Cricetulus griseus: one gene and its partners. The protein of the gene in region 1 purifies or fractionates together with the protein of each later gene. This does not show direct contact. Links are inferred from orthologs where the notes say so. Each region holds a gene or a part of one and is shown in the gene's direction. Other genes may lie near its edges.

What was found.
Region 2: the proteins of Slc9a6 (region 1) and Clgn purify together in Homo sapiens (co-immunoprecipitation; 3 studies listed by BioGRID and IntAct, with this or other methods). This does not show direct contact. The link is inferred for Cricetulus griseus from reciprocal best matches to the Homo sapiens genes SLC9A6 and CLGN.
Region 3: the proteins of Slc9a6 (region 1) and Mblac2 purify together in Homo sapiens (co-immunoprecipitation; 3 studies listed by BioGRID and IntAct, counting the BioPlex papers as one, with this or other methods). This does not show direct contact. The link is inferred for Cricetulus griseus from reciprocal best matches to the Homo sapiens genes SLC9A6 and MBLAC2.

Annotation. Positions count from the first base shown.
Region 1 is NC_048604.1:15,841,438-15,845,708, reverse strand, and holds the start of Slc9a6 (sodium/hydrogen exchanger 6), read left to right. Parts: upstream 1-1,403; coding exon 1,404-1,731; intron 1,732-4,271. UniProt on the Homo sapiens protein: Endosomal Na(+), K(+)/H(+) antiporter. Mediates the electroneutral exchange of endosomal luminal H(+) for a cytosolic Na(+) or K(+).
Region 2 is NC_048596.1:159,058,948-159,062,301, forward strand, and holds part of Clgn (calmegin), read left to right. Parts: intron 1-873; coding exon 874-1,089; intron 1,090-2,113; coding exon 2,114-2,239; intron 2,240-2,537; coding exon 2,538-2,703; intron 2,704-3,354. UniProt on the Homo sapiens protein: Functions during spermatogenesis as a chaperone for a range of client proteins that are important for sperm adhesion onto the egg zona pellucida and for subsequent penetration of the zona pellucida.
Region 3 is NC_048595.1:302,160,902-302,165,122, forward strand, and holds the start of Mblac2 (metallo-beta-lactamase domain-containing protein 2), read left to right. Parts: upstream 1-1,332; 5' UTR 1,333-1,460; coding exon 1,461-1,914; intron 1,915-4,221. UniProt on the Homo sapiens protein: Acyl-CoA thioesterases are a group of enzymes that catalyze the hydrolysis of acyl-CoAs to the free fatty acid and coenzyme A (CoASH), providing the potential to regulate intracellular levels of acyl-CoAs, free fatty acids and CoASH.

The DNA of each region.
Region 1 (4,271 bases):
AGCCAATGGGCACTTGGTGGGAAAATTCCCAGCCTGTCAGACAGAACCACCATTCTAGAGCTGTTTTAGTTTTTCTGAAGTTTCACTATCTTGACAGAGCTTAAAGAGTTTGTTAGTGAAAAGGCATTCACACTGGGGCCTCTTGTTGCTGTTGTTGGGCTATATGGTCAGCCCTGAGGTGAAAAGCTTTCAGATGGTATGTTTTATACAAAATGGCAAGGCTGGGTTGACAGTGGTCCTAATGATGTCGTGAGGGCTTTGCGGGAGGATATATATTCACAGGGGAAAGAATATGCTCCTTTACAGGATATGCCCAATATACTCAACAGGTAGAGGCCTGAAGGGCTGGTGATGGGCCGAGGCTTGAGATTTGTAGCTGCTTCACACAGAAGTGAAAGGATAGAGAAAAAGAAGCCCAAACAACTGGGTGATGCTGCAAGTATGGAGACTTTTTGGAGAGGTTCCCAAACACAGCTAAACTATGGAGATGAAGCCTTGTGAGGTCCCGAGGAACACTCAGAAATTACTCAGGAGTGAAGTTGGGGTGAAGATGACAGGTAGGGAGTCAAAGGTGAAAGAACTGGTGACATTTGACTGAAAGTAGCAATCAAAAAGAACAAGAGAGGGAAACAGCCTGCAGCTCCAGAAGACTTCTCCCCAAAGTCAGGGAAGTGCTTCTGAGTGAAGAGAAATGTGAGCACAAACGTGCTTGACTATTCTTTCCAAGGTTGAAGCTATGTGCTCGTTCCTGTTGCAGTAGATATACATCAAGCTTTGACTGCTAAAGAAAAGCCAATTAATTATACAGATACACTCATGTTCCATGCCTTTGTGTGAATTCTTTTATAAACTCTTACACTGTTATTGTCCCCCCCGCAATAATGGCAGAATACGGGGATTCCGATTTAAATTACAGAGCTGGAGATTGAGGCCACTCCCAAGGGACAACTTCTTATCCTGTTAAGACACACTGGGGGACAATATCCAGACGGGTTATGAAGATCAATTCCTCTCCCTTTCCCCGCGGTCAGGATCAAAGTAAAGGGAGCGCCTTCTGCATGTGATTACGTGTTCCTTCAGTGGGAACGAGTGGGTTAGATTCGATGTCTCGGACAGAGCTCAAGCTCTAGGTGCGTCCCTAGGTGGGCAGATGGGCAAAAGGAATGCGGCTGCGAGGGCGGGAGCCGCAGCGGGCCCTTTAAAAGTGGAGGCCGCGCGGGGCGGTGCCTGCACCGCCGGCTCGGCTGCAGCCCCGCCCCTTTCCCGTGAGCCCTCGGGGAGTGGTCCGACCGCGGGCGGGCGGGCGAGCGGGCGAGCGGCGGCGGCGGCTGCGGGGAGGAGAGAAGGAAAGGAGAGGGGCGGGGGTGGGGGGTGGGGGGTGGGTGGGTGGGGTGGGGGGAGACATGGCTGGGGCTCGGCGCGGCTGGCGGCAGGCGCCTGTTCTCCGTGGCGTCGGCCGGCCCCGGGCGCGTCCGCTTCAGCGGCCCCTCTTGTTGCTCTTCGCAGTGAGTGTCTTTGGCTGGGCCGGGGCTTCGGACGGCTCCGGGGGAACGACGAGAGCCATGGACGAGGAGATAGTGTCCGAGAAGCAGGCTGAGGAGAGCCACCGGCAGGACAGCGCCAACCTGCTCATCTTCATCCTGCTGCTCACCCTCACCATTCTGACGATCTGGCTCTTCAAGCACCGCCGGGCCCGCTTCCTGCACGAAACCGGCCTTGCTATGATTTATGGCAAGTGTCTGGGACCCCTGTCCCCTCGCTGGCACTACCCCTTTCCCTTTCCCTTTCTCTGCCTGCCGGCCGCTTCTCCTGCCCTAGTCCTGCTCGGCCTACATTATGCTCTCTGTCTCGTTCCATTTTCCGCCTCCCCTTAAACCGTCCTCCGTTTCTCTGCCTCACCCCCTTTATTTCTGCTACGCCCCCCATTTTTTCCTACCTCGTTCTCAGCTTCGCCTCCCCATTTTCTCTGGCTCTCTGAGCTGCTTTTGCCTCCGACCCCACCCCCTTTTTCTCCAGCACCCCTCTGCCCCTTCTCTGCCTACTAAGCTGGGGACCAGTACGGGTGGGTGTTGAGGATGGGAAAGGGAGTCGGGTGCGGTGGCTGGGATGGGGCTTGGGCCAGGGGGAGGGGAAGACATCCTTGCAATCTATGTGTCTGGGGTGTCAGTTTGTTTAAGGTTCGTTGAAGCTGCAGTAGTAGCTGTGTACTGGCAGCATCTGGCATTCATTTGGAACCGGAGTCGACCTTTCCTCATTACCCAGCTTTTGCTATGTCTCCTTTCCAGATGCAAATGATAACCTTACTCCGGTGGAACCCACGCAAAATAAAAACGTGAAGTAGGCTACAGAAAGCTCAGGACATTTTAAATGTCGTCCTAATTTATTTTATTATACCCGTAGTACCTAGGGTTGACCCTTAAGACTCAAGTGTATGAAAGTAAGGACGAGTCAGAGTTAAGGTTCTTCCAGCAGCATACTGTATGATGGGAACAGTTCAGCCGAATAGTAATTAAGAATCTTCACGGTTATGCCTAGGGGTGATTTGCTGTTGGCATGAAGTTCTTGACCAATTGCTTTGTAAATGATTATGGTTCTTGACTCTGTGTGCTTTCTTTTGAGGTTCTTTTGAGGTTATTTATCTGTGCGTGAGAGGTGCAGATGACACACACACACACACACACACACACACACACAGAGAGAGAGAGAGAGAGAGAGAGAGAGAGAGAGAGAGAGAGAGAGAGAGAGAGAGATCAAACCATGGGTTTACAAGGATTTTGAGCCATGCTCTAGTCTTGTGAGGGGGAAAAGAAGATATTGCTGATGGTCTCCTATCTGCTTAGGAGGGTATGGCTGAAGAGATGAGGGGTGACAAACAATCCTGTCTGTAGTACGTGTGTGAAGATTATCTTCATTTGGTACAGTCTTGAATTGTTAAGGTTTGTTTCTAAGAGTTGAAGATAAGTATATGAAGGTTTGGCACTAAAAGGCATTTTCCCGTGCAGCCCCCACCCCTTCCAGTTAATCCAGACTTCTAGAATGTGCATGCATCTCAAGGTAGTTGTGTGCCTTAAGAAAATGCATGGGCTCAGGCTTGTTTTTCATTTGTAAGGTAATGAATTCTAAGCATGAGGAGTAACCCTGTTTACTCGGATGTCAAAATAGATTTCTTTTCTTTTTTCTTTCTTTTTTGGTTTTTTGAGACAGGGCTTTTCTGTGTTAACTCAGGTCAACTCAGGCTGGCCTCAAACTCACAGAGATCCCCCTGCCTCTGCCTCCCGAGTGTTGGGATTAAAGGCGTGTACTACCGCCGCTGCCACCACCACCACCTGGCCAAAAATTGTATTTCATTTGTAGTAGTGCCTCTTAAGGCTAATTGGTCATGCATTTATCTAATTTCTCTGTGTGACAATGTGTGTGACTTGTTTACCATCTTCAACAAACATTTACTAACTAGTTTATTATTACATAATATGTACAGAATCTATAGACATGTAAAAACCTTTAAGGAGTGGAAAGACAAATCGTAAAAAGCATGAAATGACATATGAACTCTGGTTAAATGCAAAATGAGCCATACACTGTTAAAGAACTCATCACAGATAATCTCTTTCCTATTAAGAGATATGGTTTTACATAGTTGATGGTACAGGGCTTTAGACCAGGGATTGGCATTTTTAAAAGGGCTAGATAATAAAGATTGTTGATTTTAAGGGTCATATGTATTACATTTTAATCTCTCTATTTTTTCTCTTTGCAAACTTAAAAAAATGTAAAAAACAAACAAACAAAAAAGCCTAACAAGAACAACAAAAACTAGGGCCCAGAGAAAAGGATCAATGGGTAAGAGCACTGGCTGCTCTTGCAGTCTAGTCTGGTTCCCAGCTTCCACATTGCAGCTCACAGTCATCTGTAATTCCGGTTCCAGGGGATCTGATGCCCATTTCTGGACTGTGGTCAGTGCACACACAGGCTGCACCAACATCCATGTAAGCAAAGCACACATACACATAAAGTAGAAATAAATATATTTTAAAATTTAAATCTTTAGTTTTTAAAAAATAAATAAAAAACCCTATTCTCAACTCTTGGGCCATGCAAAAACAGAGTGAATTCTGAAGCTGCAAACCCCTTGAGATTCAGCCCCAGATTTGTGTTTCACTGTGCCAATAACTGTGTGATCTTAGCAAGCCCCACTCCTCCTTTACTCTTATCTATGCATTGGGAATATATGATGAGGAGAAAGTGTTTTTAGCATATTACTTGTCTCTAAG
Region 2 (3,354 bases), on another chromosome or scaffold:
GAGAGGCAGAAAAAGGTGGACCTCTGTGAGTTCTACGCCAGCCTTATCTGTCACATAGTGAGTTTCAGGACATCCAAACAGCCAGGCTATGTAGAGAAACCCTGTTGTCATTTAAGATATTCTTCTTCCCAATAGTCAGTTGATGATTACTTTGGAACAAAGTTCTATTTCAAAAGTAAATGAATGAGTTCTCATGGAGAGAACTTGTATTGTCCATTTCAATAATTAGTGTCTGTGTTTCATGAACTCCTTATTTATTTAACATTGTCAAAATTCTGAATTTTTAGGCTGTCAGACATTTGGGGGTGATCTGGCTTTGCTTTCATTAGTCATTTTAACCCTCTAGTGTGCCTTTGATGTCTCTTGCACTATTCAAATGTGATTATACTAATTCTTCACTGTAGTCTTTCTTCAAAGCGTTTATTACAAAGTGTGTGTGTGTGCGCGCGCGCGCGCGCGTGTGCACACACACACACACACACACACACACACACACACACACACACACACACACACATGCATGAGCTCATGTGAGAGAGAGAGATTGTCCTTCTTCATCTTATTGTTTTGGGGACAGTGCCTATCATTGAACCTGAAGTTTTCTGATTGAAGTAGACTGGCTGCCAGCAAATCCCAGGGTAGCTGTGTCCCCATCTCCTCGGGTCTGGTATGGAGGTCTGTTTTACAGTACCAGCTTTCTAAGTGGTGCCGGAGACTGAACTCAGGCCCTCAGACCTCCCACAGGGGCAAGCACTTTACCCACTGATCCGTCTCCCCAACTCCCTGTCCCTTAGAAACGGTTCTTATGTTCCTTTTTAATTGTTTAATGGCATCACTTTGCCTAAAATCTTGTTCATTTGTTGTTCCTTGCAGGGAATCTGGAGCCCTCAGAAAATCCCTAACCCAGATTATTTTGAGGATGACCACCCATTCCTTCTGACTTCTTTCAGTGCTCTGGGCTTAGAGCTTTGGTCCATGACTCCCAACATCTACTTCGATAATTTTATCATCTGTTCAGAAAAGGAGGTAGCAGATCGCTGGGCTGCAGATGGCTGGGGACTGAAGATAATCGTGGCAAATGCTAATGAGGTATGATAGTGACTATGGGTGGGAGTCATGGGACCCCAGTCCTGGCTGTGGGGTGTGCATAGATGCAATAATTCCTAAATGCCAGGGAGATGGACTAGAGTGAATTTTACAGACAGACTATTCAGCTTTTCTGAAGACTATATAGTGAACTCAGCATGAAGATGCTATGATCTCATTTCATTCATTAAATTATGGTAGCTTTAATGAGTTCCAAAGCCTACTTGTGATTTATAGCAATAAGAAATATTTCTTTGTGTTTTCATGTTGGCAGTGCAAGCCTAAGTTTTAACAATAATCCATATGCATTTCAAATATTTTCATTTAGAGAAATACCAAGAACTCTAAATTCAACATTATTGTTTGTCTCAACTGCAGTGCTGTGCACTCCGGGTTAGCTGGCCTGTGAGCCTCCAGAAACTATCCCCACTTCTCACTGCACTATGGGGCTCTGGGATTATAGATGCAGGCCACATGCAGGCCACTGCACCCAGCACTTTATGTGGGTGCCAGCACTGGACCTGCCAAGCCATTCACCCACCCCATTTACACACTTGATTGTTACACGTAAAGTATGTTGTGGCTCAGATTTTATGTTACTAAAATAAAATTCATGCACAAGGGCCACTTATGAAGTTGTTTATATAGAAAGAAAAAGGAAAAAACAATAGCCCCTGAGTGACTTTATTAGGAAGTTCTTTAAATAACAGAACATATTATCAACATATTATCAAAGGAGTCTTTTTTTCTTTCATTTTTGGTGTGTGTGTGTGTGTGTATTGTGTATGGGGTATGTGTGAGTATAATGTGTATAGGGGGTGTGTAGTGTATATGGAGTGTGGAGTGGGTATGTGTGGTGTGTGTAGTGTGTGTAGTGCGTGTGTGTGGTATGTATTGGGTGTGTGTATGTGTGGAGTGTGTATTGTGTGTGTGTGTGTGTGTGTGTGCGCGTGCATGGTATAAAAGGTATATAATCTGTATTTCCCAGTGGGAGTTGGTAAGTGTTCTGTGCTGATTTCTCTCGCAGCCCGGTGTACTCAAACAGCTAACGACAGCGGCAGAGGAGCGACCATGGCTCTGGCTCATGTACCTTGTGATGGCTGGGTTGCCCATAGCGTTACTTACTTCATTTTGTTGGCCAAGAAAAGTAAAGGTAAAGAAAATACACTTTTTTCAACTTTGTTTTTCAGACTTGCTTGTTTTCCAGACTCAAACTGTGTAATGAATTCAGTGTAAATGCAGTGAATTCAGTTTCCTGTAAGATTTTCTGAGAGATTGTTATATACCTTCTCAGTGCAAAAAAAAAAAAAAAAATGGCAGATAAATGTTACGATGAAGAGGACGAGTGTTGTCCATTTCAATACTTAGTGTCTGTGCACTAAAAAAAATAAAATAAAATAAAAATAGTGCTTTGCTTTTTATTAAAAACAGCTTTTGTTAAACTTCCACAGAAAAAATATGAAGACCTAGGTCCTAAGACAACTGACATAAGTAAACCACAGACCAAGGCGTCTCTGGAACAAGGGGTAGAGGAGGAGAAAGCCCCTGAGAAGCCAGAAGTTTTGGAAGAGGAGAAAAAGCCAAGTGACAGTGATGATGTAGTCATCGCTGAAAAGGGTGAGGCTGTGCTGGTGACTTGTGGTAGTGCTGCCATCCTTCCAGCACTGACTGAGAATGGCCAGCCCTGCCTTGTTCAGTGTCTGGTGTGCACATGTGAACTGCCAAGAACACTGGACTTTGGCAGTGTGGATTATCAGTTTTCTGAGAGGGACAGCCCTGTGAACAGCCAGCCTGTCTACACTGCTGTCCCTAGGCCATAGCCGAGAGTGGAGATGGCCTGCTGTTTACACACAGTTGCTGTGTGGCCAGACATACCCTCATTCCACTGTGACCCCTGCAGCATCACAGGGTTCCCCCAATCTAGGGTGGTGGATGAGTGCATTCCTGGGGTTCCTTACAGGCGCATGTGTGTGCGTGTGTATGTAATGGAGCACATGTAGGAGTCAGAGGACAACTTACATGACTAAGTTCTTTAAAAAGAACATGTGTGTATGTGGTATGTGGGGGGGAGGTGGTGTGAGTGTGTCATGTGTCTAAATTATTTAAGTTGTAAGTTCTCAGAGTATTTGTGACTTACTAGTGCTTTATATTGAAGTTCCTGTCTACTTTAGAGGATATTCACAAATAACTAATTTATAAATATCAAAGGGGTCTTATTTTAGAAGGCAGTTTTCCATTTCCCACTGTCCCTCACTGTGCGTATGTATG
Region 3 (4,221 bases), on another chromosome or scaffold:
ATACTCACAGGGGCAGTAACCTGCTCGAACTCCCACCAGAGACTTTAGGAATAGAGGAAGAATACACCTCTCCCTCCAGGAAAGTCTATTAGGAGATGCTGCAGTAAGCATTTTCCTAATTATCCTTTATAATGCTATCCCGTGGGTCTCTAATTTTTGACGGTTAGTCAACTTCTCAAGGGCATTTCTGAATCCTAAATAGATACAGCAATAGCTAGGGCTTGGGGTGAGAGCACAGGGATTTGATGTTAACAGTGGGGGTGATTTTAGTGGCTGGGTAGGCCACACCCAGTCATTATCCACTTTTCCTGTCCCCCTCAAAGTGCCCCGCCTTTCTTTAGTTAAGCTCTGGAAACTTTCTCAACGAGCAGAGAACCGAACAAAACATGACGGAAATTTAGAATTGTTTAAAGAAAAATCCTATTAGCAACTCCTCTCCCCACAATCCAGGGTGCCAAGAGTAAAGAAATCAGAAGCGGAATGGTATGCCCATAGCAGCAATCTGTCGCCAAACCAGTGCGTGAACGAACTGTAGGATCTCCGGATTGGCTAAGTCTTCTGTAGTATCAGCAAGAGCATAAACTCCCTTCTATCTCACTAAGAACACTCCCAGGAGGGGGCTGGAAGATCTAACTACCAAGACGTCAAAGGATTTGGAAGGCAGCATTAGGCTTTGAAGAGGTAAGGCTACCTCCCAAGTCACTCCAAAGGTCTGATGAATTTTGGCTCCCGATGCGGGTCCACCACGTTCTCCACGTGCCCCATCAACTCCCTTCTACCCTCTTCAACTCCAACCCAATTCGGAACAGCTTCCTGTTACCTGCTCACAACGTCTCGAGGCTTGTGCACTTTGTTCAGCCGAGGTGGCCGGGGTCCCTGCAGCCGCACCAGCCAGGAGCCGCGGATTCCACCTCCCCAGCAGCGATCACTGTCCTGCACGCGGCCACCGCGCTCAGCTAGCCCACTAGGAGCCCCGCCCACTGCCGGCGAGGCCACGCCCCCGGCACCGAGCTTTTTAGCCCTTGGCAGGCGCCGTAGTCTGCTTCCAACTGGCTCGGCCTCACTCTGGGCTCCAGCGGTGAGTGAGCTGCGCCTGCTGCCCGTGCGGGGGCGGTCCTGGCGCTTCCCACGCATCATCCCTAGCCTCTGCAGCAGAACCCCCGAGCAGGGCAGTGTCGCCCCATATCTCCGCCCTGCTGCAGCGGCCTGCGTTACTGCCACGGTGCTGCGGCTGCAGAAGCTGCGGCAGCCTGGGGTGCAGCCTTTGCGCTGTGCGGACCGGGAGCAGGAGATCTGGGCAGCGTCACCGCGGCCTATCCGCGCTCCCTTCCGCATCCCCGCCCCTCTTTCGCGCCTCCTCCGGGGCTGAGTGGAGTACGCCGCACACTGCGGCAGCTCTGGGTCCGGACTGCCCCTGGGAGGCACACCCACCTCTCCCGGCCGCACCCCTGCGCAGCAGCATGTCCGCGCTTGAGTGGTACGCCCACAAGTCTCTGGGCGATGGCATCTTCTGGATTCAAGAGCGCTTCTACGAGTCAGGCAACCGCGCCAACATCTGGCTGGTGCGCGGCTCCGAGCAAGACGTGGTGATCGACACGGGCCTGGGGCTGCGCAGCCTCCCGGAGTACCTCTACTCCTCCGGCCTCTTGCAGGACTGCGGGGCTAAGGAGGATGCCGGGCGCCGGCCACTGCTGGCTGTGGCCACTCACGTGCACTTCGATCACTCCGGCGGGCTCTACCAGTTCGACCAGGTGGCTGTGCACCGCGCTGAGGCCGAGGCCCTGGCTCGAGGGGACAACTTTGAGACCGTGACCTGGCTCTCTGACAGCGAGGTGGTGCGAGCCCCCAGCCCTGGCTGGAGGGCCAGGCAGTTCCGAGTGCAGGCAGTGCAGCCGACCCTCATTCTGCAGGATGGTAATGGGCCCCCGCGGGCGTGCGCTGTCGTGGAGGGAGGGGTTTGGGGAGCGTGTGCAGCATGTTGCAGACCTCCATGGCCACCTTGGCATTGTTGGGGTACAGTGTGTCTCACCCTTTGCTGCGTGAAAGCCGGTTTGAGCAGAGCCAAGGCCCTGGCAGCCTTCTCTGCCCAGAGAAGCGCTCTGCAACTGTGTGGCTGTCTCTAAAAAGCTGGCACCACCCCCAATCAATTCCTTGTGTCGGCTACAGTAGTAACACTGCAGAGACTTGTGACTGGGGTTTTCCTTTCTTCCCCTAGCATGAGTCGAACATTTCCAGCTTTTGTAACGAGTAGGCTTTTAAGGAATGGCACCTTGAGAAAAGTGTTATGCTCTGTGCTTTGAGAACTGCTGCTTCATCTGCGTGCTCACCGCGGAGTGACTATGAGTCCCACCTGTAGGGTTAGAAAACTGGAGAGCTGTGGCTCCAGCCATTTCATCCACCCTCACCTTCAGATGGGTTTGTTCCTTATTATTGCTCCACAAGAAGAAAGGACGGCTTGATAGTGAACACAAACGTAGAAAAGTAGAATTATGACAAATATCTGGTCTGCATGAGAGCAAGGCCTAGAAAAGATCAATAAGGGAGTTGTTTGCGGTGGATCACGTATGTGTGCTACCGCAGACTTCATTCTCTTTGGTCCTATGAAATTGGCAGATACAGCAAAATAGAGTAGGACCCCAGGCCCCTTCTCTCCATGCAGTAATTGGACTAATTAGTGACAATGGCAATACTTGGTATATTATTTCATATTTTCTTTTGTAGGGTTTATTTTTAAATTTTATCCACATAATGTTGTGAAGTGAAGCCAGAGACCCTTGATTAAATGTCTTGCCTAGTGGCCACTGAGCAGTCATGGTCAAAGCTGGGACTTGAAGCAAAGCATAGTAGAGGAAAGCAAACAGATACTAATAAATCCTTCTTATACATTGCGATAATTGTTAGTAGATTATGGAAGTCAATTTTTCAATGTTAATCATTTTAATTGCCTATACACTCCTGTAATGTTTTTTTTAAAAAAATCGGTTGCATTATAATGATGCTTATTAAGAAATAAACAATATATAAATAAAATATTTTACAGAAATACAATTTTCAACAGGATATAATACATGATATTAAAAACAATGAAATTCTAGTCCCTTACACCCAACTGACAGGTCCCTTCATTAAAGCTTTAAGTCTAAAGATTTCTTTTTTTATTTTTTATTTTATTCTTTTATTAGTTCAAATAAGGAACAAGCTTGCTTCACATATCAATCCCTTCTCCCTCTCACTCCCCTCCCCCCAACATCCCACCTGCCCCTACCCATGCCCCCCCACTCGCCAGGCAGGGTAAGGCTCTCAAAAGGGGCTCCCCAAAGTCTACCACATCACTAAAGCGAAGACTGTAGGGATTGTTATGTGGAAGAGAGGCTGACTGAATATCCTGCCTGTGATCGTCTAGACCAGTTAGACACTGGGATTATACCATGGTAGTTCCCAGTTGGTGGTAAATCCTGATGCTTTAGGAGCTGGAGAAGTACTGTACACTACAGGTGTGTGGTGCTTTGAGCCTCGCTTTGAGGGCAACAGATGGCATTGTAGAAAGTCACTCCTCATTAAGACATAGATGCCTCACCCTCTCCAGCAGCATCTGGTCTCTCATCTCAGGAATATTAATTTCCTGTCTTCTGAAGGATGTGGGATGCTAGCTGGGTATTAACACAATCCAGATGTCTCGAAGGAGATGTAAGATACTCATATTAAAAATTCATATGTATTTGCACATGCACACTCATATGCAGCTGTAACAGAACAGCTCTGGTTAGAATACAAGTGGGCAAAGTCACTTACTACATTTCATTAAGTGAATTGATGATTTGCTGTCATGAAGAAGCATAAATCTTCACTGTATCTCTAACCTAAAAGCTACCATCTAAGTGAAGGTCAAAGAGGATAGCTATCTCATCTAGTGCATTAGCCTTGACAGAAAACAATGCCGTGTACTAATAGTGAAACAGTATCTTTCTATGAGAGCATTAGACCTGAGATTATACTACAGCCCAGGCCTTTTAGTTTTTTTAAATTTTTATTTTAGTTTTTTTTGTTTTTTCAAGACAGGGTTTCTCTGTGACTTTGGAGGTTGTCCTGGAACTAGCTCTTGTAGACCAGGATGGTCTCGAACTCACAGAGATCCACCTGCCTCTGCCTCTGCCTCCTGAGTGCTGGGATTAAAGGCATGTGTCACCAATGCCCGCTCTAGCCCAGGCCTTTTAAACTATA